Macaca mulatta: one gene and its partners. The protein of the gene in region 4 interacts with the protein of the main gene of each other region in a pairwise test. Links are inferred from orthologs where the notes say so. Each region holds a gene or a part of one and is shown on either strand. Other genes may lie near its edges. The genes, in order: AMOTL2, RAB25, TRIM54, MYO5B, BNIP2 and RAB11B.

What was found.
Region 1: the proteins of MYO5B (region 4) and AMOTL2 interact in binary tests that used the Homo sapiens proteins (3 or more experiments, as listed by UniProt). The two-hybrid records come from large-scale screens. The link is inferred for Macaca mulatta from reciprocal best matches to the Homo sapiens genes MYO5B and AMOTL2.
Region 2: the proteins of MYO5B (region 4) and RAB25 interact in binary tests that used the Homo sapiens proteins (3 or more experiments, as listed by UniProt). The link is inferred for Macaca mulatta from reciprocal best matches to the Homo sapiens genes MYO5B and RAB25.
Region 3: the proteins of MYO5B (region 4) and TRIM54 interact in binary tests that used the Homo sapiens proteins (3 or more experiments, as listed by UniProt). The two-hybrid records come from large-scale screens. The link is inferred for Macaca mulatta from reciprocal best matches to the Homo sapiens genes MYO5B and TRIM54.
Region 5: the proteins of MYO5B (region 4) and BNIP2 interact in binary tests that used the Homo sapiens proteins (3 or more experiments, as listed by UniProt). The two-hybrid records come from large-scale screens. The link is inferred for Macaca mulatta from reciprocal best matches to the Homo sapiens genes MYO5B and BNIP2.
Region 6: the proteins of MYO5B (region 4) and RAB11B interact in binary tests that used the Homo sapiens proteins (3 or more experiments, as listed by UniProt). The link is inferred for Macaca mulatta from reciprocal best matches to the Homo sapiens genes MYO5B and RAB11B.

The regions. Positions count from the first base shown.
Region 1 is NC_133407.1:37,401,506-37,405,005, forward strand, and holds part of AMOTL2 (angiomotin-like protein 2), read right to left. Parts: intron 2,918-3,500; coding exon 2,604-2,917; intron 2,014-2,603; coding exon 1,793-2,013; intron 1,229-1,792; coding exon 1,049-1,228; intron 276-1,048; coding exon 217-275; 3' UTR 1-216. UniProt on the Homo sapiens protein: Regulates the translocation of phosphorylated SRC to peripheral cell-matrix adhesion sites. Required for proper architecture of actin filaments.
Region 2 is NC_133406.1:110,869,020-110,872,519, forward strand, and holds part of RAB25 (ras-related protein Rab-25), read right to left. Parts: intron 1,492-3,500; coding exon 1,296-1,491; intron 1-1,295. UniProt on the Homo sapiens protein: The small GTPases Rab are key regulators of intracellular membrane trafficking, from the formation of transport vesicles to their fusion with membranes.
Region 3 is NC_133418.1:97,686,157-97,689,656, reverse strand, and holds part of TRIM54 (tripartite motif-containing protein 54), read left to right. Parts: intron 1-1,888; coding exon 1,889-2,061; intron 2,062-2,564; coding exon 2,565-2,736; intron 2,737-2,845; coding exon of another isoform or gene 2,846-2,971; intron 2,972-3,500. UniProt on the Homo sapiens protein: May bind and stabilize microtubules during myotubes formation.
Region 4 is NC_133423.1:42,113,700-42,117,653, reverse strand, and holds the start of MYO5B (unconventional myosin-Vb), read right to left. Parts: upstream 2,801-3,954; 5' UTR 2,588-2,800; coding exon 2,561-2,587; intron 1-2,560. UniProt on the Homo sapiens protein: May be involved in vesicular trafficking via its association with the CART complex. The CART complex is necessary for efficient transferrin receptor recycling but not for EGFR degradation.
Region 5 is NC_133412.1:36,997,489-37,000,988, forward strand, and holds part of BNIP2 (BCL2/adenovirus E1B 19 kDa protein-interacting protein 2), read right to left. Parts: intron 3,042-3,500; coding exon 2,865-3,041; intron 1-2,864.
Region 6 is NC_133424.1:9,236,658-9,240,643, forward strand, and holds the start of RAB11B (ras-related protein Rab-11B), read left to right. Parts: upstream 1-1,186; 5' UTR 1,187-1,251; coding exon 1,252-1,291; intron 1,292-3,506; exon of another isoform or gene 3,507-3,636; intron 3,637-3,986. UniProt on the Homo sapiens protein: The small GTPases Rab are key regulators of intracellular membrane trafficking, from the formation of transport vesicles to their fusion with membranes.

The DNA of each region.
Region 1 (3,500 bases), on a different chromosome or scaffold from region 4:
TAAGAAGCAGAGTCTTCTGGGGGTGCTGGTGCTCTCACAGTTCTCCTCTCCCCTGGGGTCCTCCTCCTGAGCTCCTGGGGCCAGATGGTCAATGGGAATGAGAGTCTGGCTGGGGAAAGGGACAAAGCAGCGGCTGACAGGCTGCTGAAATGGCTGAGAGTGGCACAGGGCAGAGGAGGGGAGAGAATGGCTCAGAGTCCTGAAGCACCACCTCCTTCAGATCAGTATCTCCACCATGTCTGACAAGTCCTGGACTCTGGATGTAGCTACAGAGTCTGGAGAGAGACAAGAACACAGGCACATGCCAATGAGTGTTACTAGATTGCTTTTAAAATCCTGGCACATTTTAAATACAACGATCTTTCTTCACCAACTTTTCCCACCTCTGCTGCCCAGGTTCCCAGAACTTGGCCAACCAAGCACAATGCTCTGCACCCTCTCAGTGCTCAGCCCAGCCCACCAACCTCCGATGTGTAAGATGCATTTGTTTCTAACTTTGAACTGGTTGGAGGGCTTAGACAGAGCAATGGAGAGCCTGAGGGAGGGAGGCTGCAGCATTCTTTTCATGCCTGTGGTTTTCTGAGATCAGGAGGCACAGGCAAATATGCAAAGGCCAGTGTGAAAGGGGAGTGGAAAAAGAAATGGCATCTTCTCAGATTTCTCTTTCCCGGACTCTCAACAGGCTTCCAGAGTGCCATCGGCATGACTTGCAAACTCCATTCTCTTGGATAATCAAATTGGAAATTAACTATGTAGGGAAGACCATGAAAGAGGAGCTTAAGTGCCTCCCATCTGGTTGCTTTCTTTCTGAATTCTGGATCTGCCTCTAATCAGGGTTTCCAATTTCCCTATTCATGCAGCCAGCCACCCTTCATGTTCACAGTGAGGTGGGCCAGGCACGCTGCTCACCTCTGGCTATGCAGGGCTCCCCATGGAGTACAGGCAATGACCCAGAGGGGGTTGGGAAGAAAAGGCTTTGGTGTTCCAGTTCACACCCTAGTGCTCCCCTGGCCCTGCCTAGCACAGAAGTGGGGTCAGGAGGACTTACCCAGAGAGGCTGCTCTCTGGCTACTGCTGCACCCCAGAAGGCTGTCAGGCTCCGGTGGCAGGCAGGTGGAGGTGCTGTCTGGGGGGCCGTCAGTCTGGGTGCTCCCATCTCTGCTCCCGTGTTTGGCATGGGCAGCAGGGGGAGGTGTGACCACTGGCTCCTCTGTGGGTGCCCTGTCTGCTGGGAAGGTAGGTGGATGGTTATTGCCACACCTGTAAGATGTGGCCCTGGTGAAGGACACTGTAAGTTAACTGTCCTTGCTGGGGATTCAAGGTGGAGTGGGCTGCTCTTGATCTGCAAGAACTTTAAGACTAAAAATGCTCCTATTTTAAAATGGGAATGACTACCAGATTGGATTGGCTTCCAAATGTTTTGGGTGGTGGGACCCTTCTTTGTAGATTAAATCTTCTAGAGTTTCTGTGGCATCTGCTTAGAAGGAAGAGTGGAGGGGGCTTGCATAGAAGGTGCATCTGCACAGGAAGCTCTATTTTTCTCAGTTCAGTGGCTGGGGCTAAAGCATGATGGAATTTACGGCGATGGGGACGAAATACCCCTCTTCACACTGGCAGGAGAGCCATGGGCTGTAGAGTCACTGGAGGTAGAGAATAAGCCAGCTCCCCTGGGAGACAATCAGGAAGCCCTGGCTCCCATGAGCCTCAGTTCTGGGAGGAAAGGTCTGGCAATCTGTGTTCAGGCCCAGGAGAAACTACCTCTCAATCTATCCCAGCAGCAGCCTCCTCTTACCTGTAGTCAGCCGAGCAGGGGCGTCTGCTGCTTGTCGCTCACTAGAAGAGAGCCCTTGCCAGCCCTGGGTTCCTGCTGCCGCAGCCACGAAGACAGATGGCACCGACTTGGCAGGCCGTAGGGAGCCCTGGGTGGCCTTGCCAGGGTCTCTCCTGGAGCGCTGCTGAAGGACCTTGATCACTGCATCCTTCTCCAGGATCTGGGCATGGAGCACCTTTAACCTGAGGGGTGAGAGGCCATGCCCACACTGTCAGACCCATAGATCCAGCCACCCTTCCCGCCTCATAGGAGTTAGAGGAAAAGCACGCCCCCTCCCCTAACCCGGCCAGGCTGGATCTTTCTGTGCTTGTAGCAGGGACCTAGAGGGGGCTTAGAAATGGTACCACAGCTCTGGCATGTGATGCTCTTAGAGCCCAGGCTCTGAAAACCACCAGTGCATAAGGCCCTGGGCCCTTCCCACACCAGGAAAGGCAGGCCATCAAGGGTGGGTTCCAGAGTCATCAGATGATAGTGGAGGCACAGCCCTCATCCTGGAGGGCAGCACTCCGGAGAGAGGAGGCAGGGCCTAAGCCCTAAACGGCACCCAACACCTCCACAGTAAGAGTCTCCTGGGTAGACCAAGGACTCGGTATTTCTAGGCAAATGCAAGTTTACAGCGCCTGGTGTGCCAAGCATGCAGGTTCAGCTTGCTTGAGGGACTGCTGAGCTGTGTGGGGAAAGCGGTTTGTTTATCAGGGATCAAGGGCAGGGCAGTGACTGGACATTGCCACCCGCCTCCCAAACCTCAGGTGCCTGGCCTGCAATGCCGAACCTGCTTTCCATCTCCTGGTGCCTGTGGCCACCAGTGAGCAGACCCTCATTGAAGCTGCTGCTGGGCGAGGGCTGCGGGGAGTGTCGGATGAGAGTGGTGTCACGCTGGGCAGCAGCCGTGGCAGCCGCATCCATGGCAAACTGCCTCATGGCACGTTCCTCCAAATACTTCTGTTCCCACTTGGTCATGTCGGCCTCCAGCGCCAGGATCTGCTCCTCCTTCTCGCGCAGTTGTTCTGACAGCCGAAGGGCGCTGAGCTCTGGGGACCCGCCACTGCCACTGCCACTGCCACCACCTGGGGTGCCTGCCTGTCTCTGCAGAGCAAGGAGTGGAGACCGTGGTCAAGGGTGGAGGTTGGGGTGCGGCAGCCACTGGTCTTCGCCTCCACACAAGGACTGTCACTCTTACATGTGCGTGTTCGGCCATACACAGCATACATTTCCCCATCCTTCCTCTACCGAAATGGGGGTACAGCACAGGTCCCCATACCCCTGCCCTGAATCCTATGGCCAAGGGCATAGAGACCAAACAAATAATCCTCCAAACTGGCAAAGGGGGTGCTATCAATAATTATACTGGGAAAATTGGTGTAAATTAGAACAGAACTGGGCAAACCGGGGGTTCAGCCATGCTAACTCTGTCACAAGGGTAGGTTTGGGAGTGGAGAAATAGCTATTTGGTTTGTAAACACCAAGAGTTGTTTACACAGAAGTCCAAAGTGAGGTTAAGCACTATGGATTAGGGCAACCATCTTTCCTCCCAATCTCAGGGAGGCATATAAAAGCTGGCTGGTGGCTGGGCGCAGTGGCTCATGCCTGTAATCTCAGCACTTTGGGAGGCCAAGGCTGGTGGATGACATGAGGTCAGGGGTTTAAGACCAGCCTGGCCAATATGGTG
Region 2 (3,500 bases), on a different chromosome or scaffold from region 4:
CCCAATTTATTGATGAGTCCACTGAGGCTCATGAGAGATCAGGTAACGAGGAGCGTGTGTAACCAAAGCCCCTGACTCTTGCTTCCTGCCCCCTGGCAAACAGACCCCATTTCACATGCTTAGGCCTCACACTGACTGAAAGACACTTTTTTTTTTTTTTTTTTTTTGAGAACGAGTCTCACTTTTGTCGCCAGACTGGAATGCAGTGGCACGATCTCGGCTCACTGCAACCTCCACCTCCCAGGTTTGAGTGATTCTCCTGTCTCAGCCTCCCGAGTGGTTGGGATTACAGTCACCTACCACCACACCTGACTAATTTTTGTATTTTTAGTAGAGATGGGGGTTTCACTATGTTGGCCAGGCTGGTCTCGAACTCCTAACCCTGTGATCTGCCCGCCTCAGCCTCCCAAAGTGCTGGAATTACAGGTGTGAGCTGCCGTGCTCAGCTGACACTTTTTTCTTGAGACACAGTATCGCTTTGTCACCCAGGGTGGAGTGCAGTGGGGCGATTTCGGCTCACTGCAACTTCCGCCTCCCAGGTTCAAGCCATCCTCCCGCCTTAGCTTCCCGAGTATCTGGGACTACGGGTACGCACCACCAAGCCCAGCTAATTTTTTATATTTTTGGTAGAGACAGGATTTCGCCATGTTGCCCAGGCTGGTCTCGAATTCATGAGCTCAAGCAATCCACCCACCTTGGCCTCCCAAAGTGCTGGGATTACAGGTGTGAGCCAACACACCCGGCCTAAGAGTCACTTTGGATGTGGTGTCAGGAGGCCTAACCTCCTATGTGTCCTCTGAGTCTTCATAAAATGCAGATGGCAGGTTCAGCTTTTGGCCATCTGTGGTTAGATGAAAGTTGCCAAGTGCAGAGCATTGTGCGGAAGTGAGGGGGCGCTCTCGATCCGTGCAGCTTGCCCCCATCCCAGTTCCACCCTGATTTCACCTTGCTTGTATTTATACAGAAATTAATTAATTATAGCACTTTACTCTTGTGGTACTTTAAGGGTTACATAAAATGCCAAATGTAAAGTGCCTTGTCCCTTCCTGGGCACATAGCAAAGGCTTAGTAAGTGGCAATGATTCCTGCTTTTAGTAGTACTAGTCAGTATTACTATATCCTGGCTTGTGCTGGTTCTGTTTACAGTACCTTTTATCTTCTGTGATCTCCACCCCCACCACCCAGAGCCCACTGCTGAGCCCCCTTGCCTCCTCCACCCCAACTTCTCCTCCAGAAGTGTTCCTTGACTTCCCCAGAACTCCCACTACCCAGCAGCCCCCCAGGCCCGGGCTCACGCCGAGGTGATGGCTCGGTACCGCTCCAGGCCAGCTGTGTCCCAGATCTGAGCCTTGACAGCAGCGGTGCCCAACATCACAGTGCGGGTGGAGAACTCAACCCCGATGGTGGTGCGGCTGTCGTGGCTGAACTCATTGCGCGTGAATCGGGAGAGTAGATTGGTCTTCCCCACACCTGATTCGCCGATCAGCACCACTGAAGGAGTGGAGAGATAAGGGCTGAGCATGGGGTAGAGCAGCTCCAAGCCCACCTGAGCTTGCAGGGTCTGCCCAGCAGAAAAAGGGAACTGAGCTCAGAAAAAAGATTAGGGAACGGAGTCTCCTGTGAGACTGGAGTCTGCAACTCAGCATAGTGCATCTGTCCCGGTGGGCAGAAAAGCCAAGAGTTTAAAACAAAGGGGCTTGACGGGTTATAGCCTGGTCTGTTGAGATATGGTTGCAGAGTCAGCCTGCATCTCTAGTGAGGGAGTGACATCTGTGGGCTGTTTATGAGTGTCATGCGGAGACATTACTGTTGAGTGTGAATATGGACAGGGATGGTTGGAGGTCGGGGGGTGCACAGTTCTGGACTAGGACTAGGAGTATGAGAACATTGTGCTTGTCTCTATATGTATGAGCCGGGAGGACAAGTGGGAGGTTTGGTGTGTGTGTTTGCATAATGAACAGAGGTGTGAATCGAAGTGTGGGTAAGGAGAAAGTTTGGCAGTTGACACATCTGTGGGTGAAAGGAAGGCATGTGTGCTCATGTGTGTGTAAAAAGTTAGGTTCCAGTTGTCCCTAAGGAGGGGCAGTCCCACATGGTTAAGAGCATGGGACTGGGTGTTAGACCAGCTATGTGTCCTTCAGCAAGTTATTTAACCTCTCTGAGCTGTCCTTTTCATGTGAAAAATGGGGAAGACATTAGTATCTACCTTAAGGGTTGTTGTAGGAAGTAAGTGAGACGTTGCCCAGGATATAGTAAGTGTAAAAATCATGACTGGTACGATTGTTCTTAGCAGGCCAGAGTTTTTGCCTTTGGGTTTTCAGAGACAAAGGATTCACCGGAGGGGCCATGAAGACCCTTTAGCCTGGTGGGCAGCATCCAGGGCCCAGTCTTACCCACTGTGGATGAGCTGGGGGCTGGGGTAGCGTGTAGGGGGCTGATGTAAGTATAGCCCACAAATTGCACTGGCACTGAGCTGAGCACACAGAATTAGAGGAGGCCACCCAGAGTGGTTCTGGAAAGGCAGGCTGGCACCCAAGGACTGGGAGCCACATACTGTGGGCTCTGGTCCCTGCTCAGCTTCTAACTAACTGTGTGAACTTGAACAAGTGACTCACCTTTTCTCAGTCTCAGTTTCCTTGCTTATATAACCTATAAAGGCCTCCTCCAACTTTAAAAGTTTCTTGGCTGGGTGTGGAGGTTCACACCTGTAATCTCAGCACTTTGGGAGGCCAAGGCAGGAGGATCTCTTGAGCCCACGAGTTTGAGACCAGCCTGGGTAACATGGTGAAACCCCATCTCTACAAAAAATACAAAAATTAGCCAGGCATGGTGGCATGTGCCTGTAGTCTCAGCTACTTGGGAGGCTGAGGTGGGAGGATTGCTTGAGCCCGGGGGGTGGAGGTTGCAGTGAGCCGAGTTTGTGCCACTGCACTCCAGCCTGGGTGACAGAGTGAAACCCCAACTCAAAAAAAGAAAGAAAGAAAAAAAAATTAGCCAAGTGCGGTGGCAAGTGCATGTAGTCCCAGCTACTCAAGAGGCTGAGGTGGAAGGATTGTTTGAGCCCTGTAGGTTGTGGCTACAATGAGCTGTGATGGCATCACTGCACTCCAGCCTGGGCGACAGTGAAATTGGGTCTCAAAAAATAAAAATAAAAAAATGTATATCTAAACATTCCTTATTTGTGTAGGACAGTATGGAAAAGCTGGAAATAATATTGGATATGTGTCGGTAAGAGGATGTGTGTGTGTGTGTGTGTATGTGTGTGTGTGTTCCTGCCTCTCCCCTACTGGGCACATCCCCATCCCATCCCTCTCAGTGGGTGGGCTCTCAGCCCTAGCTTCATACCCCAAAGGTGCTTAGGGCAAGGGCATTGAAGTCAGACTTTGTGGCCTTTTGTAAACTACTTTGCCTCTAAGCCTCAGTTGTAAAGTGGAGATACTAATGGTTCATATTTACAGTGTACTGAATGCTTACTATGTGCCAGGCAGTGTCCTTAAAAG
Region 3 (3,500 bases), on a different chromosome or scaffold from region 4:
AAAGGGGAGGAGCAGGGCATGCCCCTCCCTTGAAAGACGGTTTATGCAATTTCCTACAAATTACACGAAACATTTGCATATACATTCCAGAGCACAGCCAACTGGCCACACCCAGTTGGAAGGGAGGCTTAGATTCACGGTTTTCGTTTGTTTGTTTTTTTGAGATGGAGTCTGCCTCTGTTGCTCAGACTGGAGTGCAGTGGTACTATCTCAGCTCACTGCAGCCTCCGTCTTCTGGTTTCAAGCAATTCTCCTGCCTCAGCCTCCTGAGTGGCTGGGACTACAGGTGTGTACCACCGTGCCCAGCTAATTTTTTTATTTTTAGTAAAGATGAGTTCTTGCTATGTTGCCCAGGCTGGTCTCAAACTCCTGAGCTCAAGTGATCTGCCCACCTCGGCCTCCCAAAGTGCTGGGACTACAGGTGTGAGCCACCACACCCAGCCCTTTATACCATGTGTCTTGTTAAAACTCAGCGCCCTTATTATTAAAGAAGAAAAGGTGGTGAACGTCCGGGAACAATAAGCAGTGTCTGCCAGTCTTTCATCTCTGCATCTCCCCACGCATAGACTCTTTTCTCTGTAGACCAGCCTTCTCTGTTCAGAGTTTATGACCCCTCACACTTTCCAGGGTGGCCATGATGTCAGCTCTTAGCCCAATTCCACAGGTCTGTTCAGTTCGTAAGCAACACATGGTGCAGCCAGCTAAGCCCCTGAGTCTCAAGTGCAGATTCTTAGGAGAGAACATTTAATTGGTTCTGCTTGGGTCAGGTGATCACCTCCTTAGCTCTGAATCAGTCATCTGTGGCACGGATCTGTCTTCTAGGAGAGGATGGAGCAACTTCTCTAGGAAAGAGATGTAAGCGGGAGGAAGTGATGGGTGTCTGTTAAGTCCTCCTTCTGAACTTACCCCTGTCACAACACCCATCCTGCTGGATGCAGTTGTTGGGTGCTTGTCCTTAGAGCAGGATGCATTTTCCTTGTATCTTTAACTCAGAGTCTAGCAACTACCTGGCACACTATAAATGAATAATCTAATTTTATCCTCAGCTTTACAGAGGTTGAATACCTGCCTAAATTTATATAGTTAAGAGGTTGGGCATGGTGGCTCATGCCTATAATCTCAGCAATTTGGGAGGCCAAGGCGGGAGGGTCGCTTGAGGTCAGGAGTTTAAGACCAGCCTGGGCAACATAGTGATACTTCATCTCTACTAAAAATTAAAAAAATTATCTGAGCATGGTGGTACATACCTGTAGTCCCAGCTACTCAAAAGGCTGAGATGGGAGGATTGCTTGAGCCCAGGAGGTTGAGGCTGCAGTGAGCTGTGATCCCACCACTGTACTCCAGTCTGGGCATCAGAGAGAGACCCTGTCTCAAAAAAAAAAAAAAAAAGCATCAGAGAATTACCTGGCTAGTTACTGTTTGTGAGCCCCATTGTTGAGCACTTGTGTCTGCTGTACCCCTCCCCAGGACTGCAGAGAATCTCCCCCCAGATGTGGCTCAAGAGGGCCCCAGACTGGAAGACACTGGCCGCACCACTCAGAGTCCATTTCCTGCCTCAGCCTTATTGCCAAGGCCAATGTCTCCCCACAGCTCCAAGCTGGGCCCCTTTGGAGAGATCCCAGCCTGACTACACCTTTACCAAAGCTGGTCTCTAGATGCAGGGGCACTCTAGGAGGTGGGCTGAGTAATGAGGCAAAGGTGGGAAGCAGGGTCTCCATAGCCGTACACCCTGCGCTGCTCTCAGAGGTGGATCCAGCCACAGAGAAGAGCTGACATCTTCCCCTCTATCATATTCCTACTCCCTAGCCCCCAATCCCTTTCCCCCTGCCTCCTCCGAGTCCCTTCATGCCTCCCCGTGCCTGTTCTCTCAAGCCATCTGTCCCTGCAGGCCTCGAATCCTCTGTGGCAGTCCCGGGGCTCCACCACTGTGTCTTCAGGAGGCCGTTTCCGCTGCCCATCTTGCAGGCATGAGGTTGTCCTGGACAGACATGGTGTCTACGGCCTGCAGCGAAACCTGCTAGTGGAGAACATTATTGACATTTACAAGCAGGAGTCGTCCAGGTGAGCTGCCAGGGTCTCTTGCCTCTCTAAATGTCAGGGCTTGGGACACAGCCAAGGAACCCATCAGAGCCAGAAGGGAGAGACTGAAACCGTCAACCCACCTGTTCTGTCTAGAGACAATAGGACTGGATCCGGAGAGGGATTGCCTCAGGCCTCCCAGAGAGGGCAGTCCCTGATTCCCTAGCCAGTACTTCACTCCTACCCTCTCCTCCTGGGAGAGGCTGGCAGTCCACCAGCAAGATCCTCGCCAACCCTCCAAGACTTCCTGTCCTGTGGGACTTCCCTGCCCCCTGAAATACGGACTATTCTTGGATCCAGGCCTTCTCTATCTCTTAGCTCCTTCTATTCCCCAAACTCAGAGCTCTGTGGAAGTACTCACCAGTTCAGCCACAGCACTAGCTGCAGGGGTGGAGAAGGGGTGGTAGTTGGTGGAGGCTGAAGAGAAGGTGTTCCTAGGACCCTTCATGCTTAAGGTCCACCTCCCCCTGCCCACTCCTCTCTAGGCCGCTGCACTCCAAGGCTGAGCAGCACCTCATGTGCGAGGAGCATGAAGAGGAGAAGATCAATATCTACTGCCTGAGCTGTGAGGTGCCCACCTGCTCTCTCTGCAAGGTCTTCGGTGCCCACAAGGACTGTGAGGTGGCCCCACTGCCCACCATTTACAAACGCCAGAAGGTATCAAACAGGGGAGGGAGTAGATGTGTGGGAGATGGGGGCTTAGGACAGGGTCTCAATGTCAGCCTCTTATTCCACTTATCTTTTGTTTATTTCTTTATTTATTTAGAGACAGGATCTCACTCTGTTGCCCAGGCTGGAGTGCAGTGGCACAAACAGAACTTACTGCAGCCTTGATCTCCTGAGCTCAAGTGATCCTCCCGTCTTAGCCTCCCAGAACACTAAGATTATAGATGTGAGCCACTGCACTCAGCCCTATCTATTATCTATCTATCTATCTATCTATCTATCTATCTATCTATCTATCTATCTATTTTGAGATGGAGTCTCGCACTGTCACCCAGGCTGGAGTGCAGTGGTGCAATCTTGGCTCATAGCAACCTCAGCCTCCCGGGTTCAAGCCGTTCTTATGCCTCAGCCTTCCATGTACCTGGGATTACAGGTGTGTGCCACCACGCCCAGTTTTTTTGTTTTTTTGTTTTTTTGGTTTTTTGTTTTTGATTCCTGGCTTCATGTGATCTGCCCACCTTGGCCTCCCAACGTGCTGGAATTACAGGCGTGAGCCACTGTGCCCAGTTCCATTCATTTATTTTTGAAAAGATGTGGGGATCTCTGTCGCCCAGGCTGGGATGCACTGCTATGATTGTGATTCACTGCAGCAGCCTTGAACTCCTGGGCTCACGTGATCCCTACCACCTCAGTCTCCCGAGTAGCTGGAACTACAGGCATGTGCCGCCATGCCCAGCTTATTTATTTATTTATTT
Region 4 (3,954 bases):
AGCAAAGTTCCCACTTGATGGATACCAAAACTGCTGCACCCAGATCAATTGCAGACAAGAGCAGAGCTTTGGATGGAAATTCTAAACAAGTGGGATCAAGACCCTGAAGCATTTCTTTGAATTGTAACAGGGGATGAAATGTGGCTCTCCCAGTATAATCCTGAAGACAAAGCCCAATCAAAGCAAAGACTTCCAAGAGGTGAAAGAGGTCCAGTCACAGCAAAGGTGGACTGGTTCAGAGCAGAGATCATAGCAGCATTTTGGAGGACTGCTCAAGCCATTTTGCTTGACTTTCTAGAAGACCAAATGATGATGACATCTGCTTATTACAAGTGTCTTGAGGAAGTCAAAGCTTTAGCAGAAAAACACCAAGGAAACGTCACCAGAAAAGTCATTTTCTGCCACAACAATGCTCCTCATTCCTCTCAAAGAAGAGCAATTTTGCAAGAGTTTCTACGGAAAACTATTAGGCGTCCACCTCACAGTCCTGATTTGGCTCCTTCTGACTTTGTGTCCTAATCTCGAAGTTAATGACCTGCATCTTTTCCAGTTAATAATGTAAGACTGCATTGGCATGGTTAAATTCCCAGGACCCTCGGTTCTTTAGGGACGAACTAGGTGGCTGGTATAACTTTCAAAAGTGTCTTGACCTTGATGGAAATTGCGTTGAGAAATAAAGTTTATATTTTTAAACTTTTAACTCCATTTTACCCCACAAACTCTCCCCCTCATATAATAACAGCAATTCAATATTGCCTGACAAAGGACTTTGACACATTGGAGGTATATTCAGTTGAGTCATTCCTTTTACTTAGGAGTACAATTTGCATCTCCATGCACTTTAATGTAACAAAGCTTCGGCTTTGAGCACTCCAGTTCAGATTTTTCCCCTGCCTTCACTGGCTTCCAGCCTCCAGTCCCAGCTCCTGAAACCTAACCGGCTTCAGGGAAAAAACCTGAGCTTTTAGGGATCCTCCCAATACCTCCACAGCCAAGAGGGGTGGAGTGCCATTCCAAGCCTAGGACTGCCACAGAGTTGACGCCCTGGCTCCCGCCTCCTCGCCTCCTCGCCTCCTCCCCTCCTCCCCCAGAGGCCGTCGCCCATCCCTGATCGCTGCACAGGAGGTCCCTGGTGGGCTAGGAAGTAGTATCTGAGGCTGCTGCGTCCCCACCCCCAGCCAGGTGACAGCCTCCGCGGCCACCTTCATGAGCGTGAACCCATCCCGGCCCTGCTCCCCGCTCCAGGAGGAAGGCGAGAGTTTAAAATTCCTCAAACTTAGAAGGGTTGCCAGTTCACGGAGCAGAAGGGCTCCCCCACATGTGCTGGACAGCCGCGAGTGCTCTCCAGGTAAGGACGCAGAAGTGACTGTTCCTACCCAGCCCAGACCTGATGGCCCGGGCAGGTGTCCCGGGAATCGCACACCCACACAACGCGCGCGGACACCACACGCACACACAACTCTGCACGGAGGCGTGTGCACAGGCACTGTCGTATGTGTTTTGGCCACCCAAGAAGATGAACAGGAAAACCAGGCATTGGACTATCCAAAACTTGTTTTCCTAAAGGGCACATGTGAAGAAAAGGCCTTTGCCCATCTCACTCCTGACTCCAGGGTGAAACTTGAGGGGTCCCGGACGGCTGCAGCGCTGCCTCCAGCTCCCCTGGAAGCGGTGGCTCGTCCCTAACTTTAACCACAGCAACTGCTGCGGAACGCGGGCGTCTCCGCCCAGGCTGCACCTGTTCCGGATTCGGAGCACCCAGCCTCGCACATCCCTTCTGACCTTGAAGGCATCCTGAAACTCACACCCTGCTCCCAGTTCGGCTTTACTCCAACCCCCTTCCCCACAGTCACTGAAGCTCTCTTGGTACCAGAGGGGCCGCGTCAAAATACCCATCCCCAGCAAATTCACAATGCTCTTCCCTGGGGTCTCCGGAGATAACGGAGCACCCCTCTACCCATCGCTTACCCCCACTCCATCCAGCTGCCGCGCCCTCACGCCAGGTTGAGTCTCCTCCCTCTCCACCAAGTCCAGAACCCCCACCTCTCCCAAGTCCAGGGTTCCCTGTTGTGGGTATGCGTGAGGAAAGGACGCCTCGGAGGCGAACCCTCGAGAGCCGGCGCCGCAGAACCCCTGGGGCGGGGTCCACGGCGGGGACAGGGGACAGCGGCGGGCGCACCGCGGGGGACCGTCCGAGCACGGCGCTCAGAGCTGGCAGAGTCGCCCCCGCGGTTCGGGGAACTCAGCTGGAACCCAGCCCAGGCAACGAAAGTGAGGGGCGCGGCGGGGAGGGGGCGACAGCACCGGCTTGGGGCTGAGCCGTGGCGCTGCGGAATCTCCAGGAGCCGGGCGGCCGGTCAGTGCGGGCGTTCCCGGAACCGCTAAACTTTCTCCGCCAACAGAAGTTAGGGACGCCGAGGACGGAGACGCGGGGGACACCAGGAGGGGTCTCCCGTCACCTCCCGCCTCCAGTAGCCGAGGGAGAAGGCGACCCTGAGTGCCAGGTGGCCCCGAGCGCTCCGCCCCGGCCCCGCGGCGCCTCTCCCGCGGCTGCGCTCACCTGGCTGTAGAGCTCGCCCACCGACATGGCCCGGGCTGGGCGGGGCTCAAGCCCCGGCTCCCCGTTGCACCGCGGCTCTCAGTCCGCGGCCGGCCCGCCTGGCGCCATGTTCCTGGGCTGGCCTGGAGTTTCTCGATCTTCTCGCTCTTCTCCGATCTGCCCCGCCGGCTTCCCGGAGGCACAGCGGCCGGCTCGCTCCCGGCGGCGCGACCTTTACTCCTGCGGCGGCGGCGCAGCAGCGGCCGGACAGGAGTTGCGAGCGCCGGGGGAGGAGGCAGCGCGACGCCGCTCCCCGCCCAGGTGTAGGGAGGAGGCGAGGGCCGGCGAGGAGGGAGGACCCGCGCGCGTCAGAGCGGACTGCCCGTGCGCCGCCGCGCCTCTGAGCCCTGCCGGTGCCCGGCCCGACGCGCCCTCCCGCGCCCCCGCTGCCACCTGGGCCTCCGGGCCGGGGGCGGGGCGCTCAGAGCGGAGCTCGGGGACCGGCGCGGGCCGCCCCCTGCTGGACGCCGCACGCGCAGGCACAGGTGCGCCCCGGTGCCAGCACCTGCTCTTCCACCCGCACCCGGCCCGGCGGAGTCCGGCACGCACGCGGTGCACACAAGAAAAGGGGAGAGGAACTAACCAGAGAGCGGGGAAAAGAGAGAAACTTCTATGGCTGGAAGGCCCCGGACGTTGCCCTCGATTTTACCTGGCTGTATTCAGCGCTTTCATTAAAATTCAGTTACTCGTAGATCGTTATTAAGGCGACCTGGACATACGTACACCAAGGATCTTCTCCTTCAAACTGAACTCTCTGCGCGGAAATCCGTCAGAAAGGTGGGAGTCGTAACTTCTTCTGTACAAATATTGGCCACTTTCGCCCACAGCCTCCAAGGAGACTCCAGGCCACTCCTCTCAGAGGGCTCTTGCTTTTCCGGGAAGTCTCACGTTCTCCCAACCCCCGTCTCTCCTACATGCAGACTCCCGGTCTTTCTGCCACTCACTACCTCGTTTATTTGTGTTCCCTCTCTGCCCATGGCACTTGGCTGCCTACAGCAACTTCAGCTCTTTTCCTACTTCCAGTGAAAAGTAGAAATTTCAGTCAAGAAAAAAAAAGACTGCCAGGAGTCTGTGGAAGGAGACCAGGGCTGTCAGACGAGACACTCCCTTCTGAAGGTGGCATGTGTCCCTGAACCAGGGGTGGCCCCTGAAAAGTGGTTCTCCACCAGAAGATCTATCTATACCAGCCGGGGCAGTTGTTTAGGAGCCTCAGAGGGTGATTCTCAAAGGCATCCCACCTGGAACGCAAGATCCCGTTGTAATTCACCTGTGCAGGCCTTCCCGTGGGCGCCTCCACAATGAGAGTCAACTGGGGAGCTTTAAGCGATCCAAGGAAGAGGCCCCAACCCAAGGAA
Region 5 (3,500 bases), on a different chromosome or scaffold from region 4:
TTTAGATATTAAGCCCATATTTAGTAGCAAATACTTCTGCTTTAACCTTCATTTCTATTGTTTACAAATTTGCATTTGAAAAGATTTGAACATTTCAAGAACATCAGAATCTTCACTACCTTTCTTAATCACTCAGTCACAAAATATATTAAGTGTGATAATGCAGTAAGATAAGGTGGTCTTATTTTCCCCTATAAAAAAGTGCTATTTCTGAAAGAGATTGAAGCCATAAATCAGGCCTTATAATTTGATTCCAGTGAACTAGCTGAATAATATACGTCTGTGGACTTCCTGATCCAGATTATGCCATTTTCTTCATCTGAGTATGATTAAATTAGGCAGAAGAATGCAACTACAAATATTCATGTGATTTGCTTTCAGATGAATGAAGACTGTAGAAATAAGCAGGGGAATGCATCTGGCATTAAAGTAAGTGGTAAATTAAGTGGAAATGACTCCGAAAAAAAATCAATCTGCTTGACCCATGTGCCACTCTGTCCTGTGTTAGGAGGATTTAAGGTAGTGTGACATGCTCTACAGTGAGTTGTGTTCTGACTTGCCACTAACATTCTAGCACTATTTACAATGTGCCTAGGTAAACTTCTATATATGGTACTGTTAGATTCACAGGATTTGTAACTTAAACTTTTATAGCTTTTCCTGTTTCTTAAGGGAAGGGACTTAAGCCTTGTATTTTTGTATATCCCATAAGTATGGAAAGTGGGTACTCTATAAAAATGTGGAGTGAATGAGCTCTCTATTAAAAAATAATTTGGGCTGGGCGCTGTGGCTCATGCCTGTAATCCAGGCAATTTGGGAGGCTGAGGCGGGTGGATCACAAGGTCAGGAGTTCAAGACCGGCCTGGCCAATATGGTGAAACCCCATCTCTACTAAAAATACAAAAATTAGCCGGGCATGGTGGTGCGTGCCTGTAGTCCCACCTACTTGGCAGGCTGAGGCTGGTGTATTGCTTGAGCCTAGGAGGCAGAGGTTGCAGTGAGCCAAGATTGCGCCACTGCACTCCAGCCTGGGTGACAGAGCGAGACTCCGTCTCAAAAAACAAAACAAAACAAAAAAATTAAAAAAAGGAAAAAAAAAATTTGTTCAGGATTTTAAGGCACATTAAGAGTTAAGGTTAAAAAGTCTAAGTTTTAGGGCTGGGCACAGGGGCTCAAGCCTGTAATCCTAGCACTTTGGGAGGCTGAGGTGGGCAAATCATGAGGTCAGGTGATCAAGACCATACTGGCTAATACGGTGAAACACTTTCTCTACTAAAAATATAAAAAATTAGCTCGGGTGGTGGCATACGCCTGTAATCCCAACTACTCGGGAGGCTGAAGCAGGAGAATCCCTTGAACCAGGGAGGCAGAAGTTGTAGCGAGCTAAGATCACGCCACCGCACTCCAGCCTGGGTGATGAGCAAGAGTCCATCTCAAAAACAAAAAAAAAGTCCAAGTTTTACTTATATCCATAAATGACTTCTAAAAGAATGCTCAAAGCGGTTTTGTTTATAATAGCCCAAGCTGGAAACAACTCACATGCACATCAAAAAAAAAAAGAATGGATAAGCAAATTATGGTTTATCCATGCAATGGAAAACTACTCCCCAATAAGAAGGAATGTAATGTGGATACATCAACGACATGGATGAATCTCCAAAACTTCATACTGAAAAGTAAACAAAAGAGTGTACAGGATGATTTCAGTTACTACATATGAAATTCTAGAACAGGTAAAACTAATCAGGCGGTAGATATGACAGTGGCTACCAAGGTGAGGATTCACTGGGCAGGGGTATTAAAGAATTATTCTGGGACAATGAAAATGTTCTATATGTTTAGGGGTGTGGGTTATATATATGGGAATATACAGTTATATGGGCATTTGTCAAAACTCATTGAATTGTACACTTAAGATCAGGGCATTTCACTGTTTATAAATTATGGAGAAAGTACAGTCCCAGTTTTGGGTAGCCTAGAGACAGCTAAAAAAAAATTTCTTTTTAAAATTTTGAGACAGGGTCAAAAAACAAAAAACAAAACAAAACAAAACAAAAAACTGGAGTGCAGTGGCATGATCACGGCTCACTGAAGCCTCAACTTCCCAAGCTCGAGCTCTCTCTCCTCCCACCCCAGCCTCCTAAGTAGCTGAGACTACAGGCGTACACCACCATTCCTGGCTTTTTTTTTTTTTTTTTTTTTTGGTGGAGACAAGGTCTATGTTGCCCAGGCTGGTCTTAAACCCCGGGGCTCAAGTAATCCTCCTGCCTCAGCCTCCCAAATTGCTGGGATTACAGACCTGAGCCACCATGCCCAACCTGACAGTTTTCACTACAAATTCTTTTGTACTTTTTCAACTTAGTGTAGGTATATAATCATTTTTAAATGGTACTTTTGGCTGGGCGCAGTGGCTCACGCCTGTAATCCCAGCACTTTGGGAGGCTGAGGCGGGTGGATCACAAAGTCAGGAGATCAAGACCAGCCTGGCTAACACGGTGAAAACTCGCCTCTACTAAAAATACAAAAAAATTAGCTGGGCTTGGTGGTGGGCACCTGTAGTCCCAGCTACGCGGGAGGCTGAGGCAGGAGAATGGTGTGAACCCAGGAGGCGGAGCTTGCAGTGAGCCAAGATCACGCCATTGCACTCCAGCCTGGGCCACAGAGCGAGACTCCATCTCAAAAGCAAAAAGAGAAAAAAATGGTACTTTTCTTCTTTTACTTCAAACCTATCATGTTTCTAAAATGATATGATAAATGCTTATTATTCTTTCAAAATTACGTAATATCTCTAGGCAGAGTTTCTAAAACTATTGAGAATTCTGATACCACATTAAACAATTTGAAAAATGTTCAGTAACTCTTACCCCCATGGCTGATAACTTTTTTATAGGGTTCAATTGCCTTCATATCAACTCTGTGGTCCTGTTCTCCAATCCTGAACATACGCCAGCGTCGTCCATCTTCTTTTTCCTCTGCTGCTGTATATTCAGCAATTGAGCCTTTCCTAATTACTTCAGTAGTCTTGGGTTTTGGAAGATCATCTGTCAAAATAAAAAGTTTTTCAATCACCAATTGTTACACAATAAAAATCAAATTATACGTTAACCACTTTACTATCTAGATTTTACAGAGAATTTTCATTATACCATCTGTGCAATTTTAAATATCTCTTCCATAATGCAGGAAAAGGCTTATTCTTAACATGAGGCCATTTTATGTCTTTGGAAATCATGGTTAACTTTTTTTATTGCCCAATTTAGCAAAAACCACCTAATCATAGTGGTTTATATCATATATCCACAAGTTCAGAAAATATAATTCATAGAGTCATCAAAATCTTAGTACATGTGCCTTACAATGCCTTTCCAGATTCAACTTGTGACAATATTCTCCCTGGCAGTTATGACTATAGGTTACTTCAAGTAGCTATCTGGGAGCCAATTTTGTTGTTGTTGAGCACATAAATTAACTGTAATACCAGATAGGAAGTGGTTAACTAC
Region 6 (3,986 bases), on a different chromosome or scaffold from region 4:
CTGTAATCCCAGCTAATCAGGAGGCTGAGGCATGAGAATCGCTTGAACCCAGGAGGCAGAGGCTGCGGTGAGCCGAGATCTCACCATTGCACTTCAGCCTGGGCAACAAAAGCAAAACTCCTTCTCAAAAAAACAAAACAAAACAAAAAACTGTCATAATTATTTCACTGGGTACATGTATATCAAAACAGCACGCTGTACGCCCTAAATACATAAAATAAAACAAACACATATTGTATTGTCAGGTAGTGATAAATCCTATCACTACCTGACAATACGGCAGTATGTGTTTTATTTTCTATATTACCTATATTTTACCTATGTGGTAAAATATTGGATAAAGAGGGGTAGGGGTAGGAGGTCCTGTTGGAGAGCATCGGTGCCCAATAAGGATTTGTAAGTATTTATTAAACAAAGAAAAGCAGAAAGTGGACGGTTGATTCACTCTTGGTGCAAGCCACCACGCTCGGCTAATTTTTGTATTTTTAGTAGAGACAGGGTTTCACCATATTTGTCAGGCTGGTCTCGAACTCCTGACTTAGTGATCCGCCCGCCTCGGCCTCTCAAAGTCCTGGGATTACAGGCGTGAGCCACCGCGTCCAGCTGATCTGGTTATTTTCAAAAGATTCCATGAGGTGGGTTTCTTCAGTTTACAGAGGAGAAAACTGAGGCATAGAAGGATAACCCAGTGAGTCCCAAAATAGAGATGGAAACTACAACCGACAAAGGGGACCCAGCGCTGAGGTCCCCGGAAATGATCATTTATGGGATTGGGGGGGCGAAGCCAGGGCAGCGCTCGCTGACCTATGACGTCATCGGGACGTTAAGAATCTTAGCATCACCTGGACGTACCCCCATTTCCCTTCCCGGACAGGTCCTCTGATAGTCGGCTAGGTTCTCAATCCAGCCTCTCATTGGTTAGTTGGTCTGTCATTCCACTTCATTCCTGCAGCCTTCCGCCCCGCCCTCTTAAGCTCGCCTCTAATAGGCTGTCGCGACCGTCACTTCAAAAAGGTCCGCATTCCTTCCGCCTTTCTCCAGGACACCGAGGGCGAGGAGGGTGGATACCAAGCGGCGCCCACCCTCAGAGCACTACTTCCATCTCTGATTGGCTCCGCTAGGTGCCAGTCGCTACCCCACCCGCCGCTGATAGGCCATTCAACGGCCGTTCTGCGCGGCGCCGGCTCCGCCCCCGTCGAGTGTTTGTGGTGGGGCTGCGGAGTTGCCGATCCCGCCGGAAGCGCCAGGACAATGGGGACCCGGGACGACGAGTACGACTACCTATTCAAAGGTGCGGCCGGTGGGGCACAGACGGGCTAGGGCGTTGCGGCGAGGCGGCGGGCAGACGGGCCAAGGCCGCGCTTCAGGCCGCTGGGCCCAGTCCGGAGCCCGGGGCTTGGGGCCCGGCGGGTCAGGCAGCCGGGAAGGCCGGGGCCGACCGGGCTCCATCAGCTTCGAGCTAGGATTCGCGGCCATGCGGAGCCAGAGGCCCGGAGAGACCTGGGGGACCCAGGATGCGCTGGGGCGGGGCTGGGGCCTAGCGGGGGTGGGGCCCGGAGCGGTGGGAGAGGCCGTTAGGGCGGGGCCTCCGGAGGGGGTGGAGCCTTCCCAGGATTTGGCGGGCCGGGCTGGGCTGAAAGCGTGGTTCGGAATGGGGGCGGGGTTTTAGAGGCGGGCTAAGGCTGATGGGTGTGACGAATAGGTGGGTTGGGCCTGGTAAGTGGGGGCGGGGCTCACGAGGCCAGTCCTGATTGGGTCAGCATGTTTGGGGGTGGGGCCCGGGATAGGCGGGGCAGACAATGGGGGCTGGGCCGAGATGAGGGCCTGGGGGTGAGGTGTGTGGTGGTGGGAGTCTTGGATTGGGGTGCAGAGCTGGGATTGAGTGGAAAGGTATCCGTGTGTGCAGCAAGAATTCCATCTCTTCACTTAGCACTCTCAACGGCGCTAAGCCAGTACCTGCACTTTTCTGAGCACTTTACGCAAACGAACTTAAATCCTCACTGCAGCCCTTTGAGGTTGATATTAACCAGCCTCTCTTTTTACACATTGGGAAACTGAAGCCCAGAGTGACAAAGACACAGTTTATAAAGTGTTGGAGCCCGATTGAGCGCAGGCCACCTGTGGGCTTTACCACTTAGGAAGCGTGTCTTAAGGGGCTTGTGGCCAGCATCTAGGACTTGGGGTTGTTAGACCACCTTCTTCCAACGTGCGCACTGATGGCCGGGGCCCCAGCCAGCCTGTTGGAGGGTCTTCCCCGCCCGAGAGACTGAGGGGGCTCTAGGAACATCAAATAAAGCCTAGTCAGATCAGGCAGCCATTGCCCGGTCTGCTGGAAGAAGCTGGAGTCCCTTGTTTCTCAGCTGAGCCTTCTATGCCCAGCTAGACTTTCGCCTAGTCGTCTGCCCTGGTTGCTGGGCTCCCTGGCTGACAATGGCAGCCCTTGAGGGTTAACCCCTGGATCCAGGGTGCCTTCACCCTGCAGCCTGCTCTATAAGGGCCTGCGTCCCACATCAGCTGTTGGTATCCTCGCCTCGCTGAGCCGTTCCTCCGAGCGTGCTCTGTGACTTGCACCAGGCCTAGCTGGGCCTTGCGTCTGGTCTCATCCAGCGTCTTGTGGTTGTGGGGAATGGGCAGAGGTCTCCCCACCTGAGCTGTCCGTGAGGCGAAAGCCTTCGGTGGAGAGGGAGAGGAAGTGTCTCTGCAAGACTCTGAAGTCGTCCTGCGGCACTGAGGGCTCTGGCAACTGCACACAGGTTGATAATATCACTGGTGGGTGAGGCTCTGTGGCTGGCAGGTGCCAGGCCCCAGGTCTCGCCCTCATGGCAGGAGGAAGCTTTGGAAGGGTTTTGGGGACTGGGATTCTAAGGGGCCATCTGGAGACAGGGGGACCAAACTTTGGGTTCTGCTGGGCGGGTGCCATCTCCACTCAGCCCTTCCTGAGGCAGCTGCTCTCAGGTCCTGGCTGGGCACCCACCCAGATGTGGCACTGCCAGGGCAGGGAGTGTTGCTCCCCACGTGCCCTGTCCAGGTTTCTGTGGTTATCCCCTGCTTGTTATTTTCGCCCTTTTGCTGTTTTAAATGACCCCAGCTCCGAGTGTTTGCCCAAGTCATGATTTTGCCCTTTGGGTTATTTCCTTGAAGTACATTCCCAGCAGAACAGTTACTGGGTCAGGAGCAACGGAGAGGCTGTGTGGTCCCGGGACCCGTCTGCAGAGACTGCCTCCTGGAAACACTGATCTAGCTCCTGCGGCAGCTGCCATTTGGCAGGCGGGCGGGCAGTGTGGGGGGGGGGGCCTGCCCTGCTGCCCTCCCCACACTGGCCTCCTTTTACTGAGTCTAAGCAGGTGCCCTGCTGACCTTCTCAAGCCAGTTGGTAGCAAAAATCTAACGCACAAGGTCAGCCTTTCCCAAACTGGTCATCTGCCGTCTCACCTTCACAGCTGTGCCTCATCAGAAGACCTCCTCTATTCTTTTTCAATATTTGTCTTTCTTTTTCTGTTTCCTTTCTTTCTTTTCTTTTTTTTTTTTTTTTTTTGAGACAGAATTTCACTCTAGTCACCCAGGCTGGAGTGCAGTGGCGCAATCTTGGCTCACTGCCACCTCCGCCTCCCGGGTTCAAACGATTCTCCTGCCTCAGCCTCCCGAGTAGCTGGGATTACAGGCACCCACCACCATGCCTGGCTAATTTTTGTATTCTTAGTAGAGACGGGGTTTCACCATGTTGGCCAGGCTGGTCTCGAACTCCTGATCTCAGGTGATCCACCTGTCTCGGCCTCCCAAAGTGCTGGGATTACAGGCATGAGCCACCACACCTGGCCTCTGCCTTGTTTTTTTTTTTTTTTTTTGGTGGCCACATCACGCACTGGCTCCCTTGACCTCAGCGGCCGAGGCCAGCAGATCCCCCGGGTGATGCCCTGTGTGCTGTTTGTTTTCCTCTGTGAATGTTCTTTCCTTCCCCCAGGAACGACACTGTTGATTTGTACCTA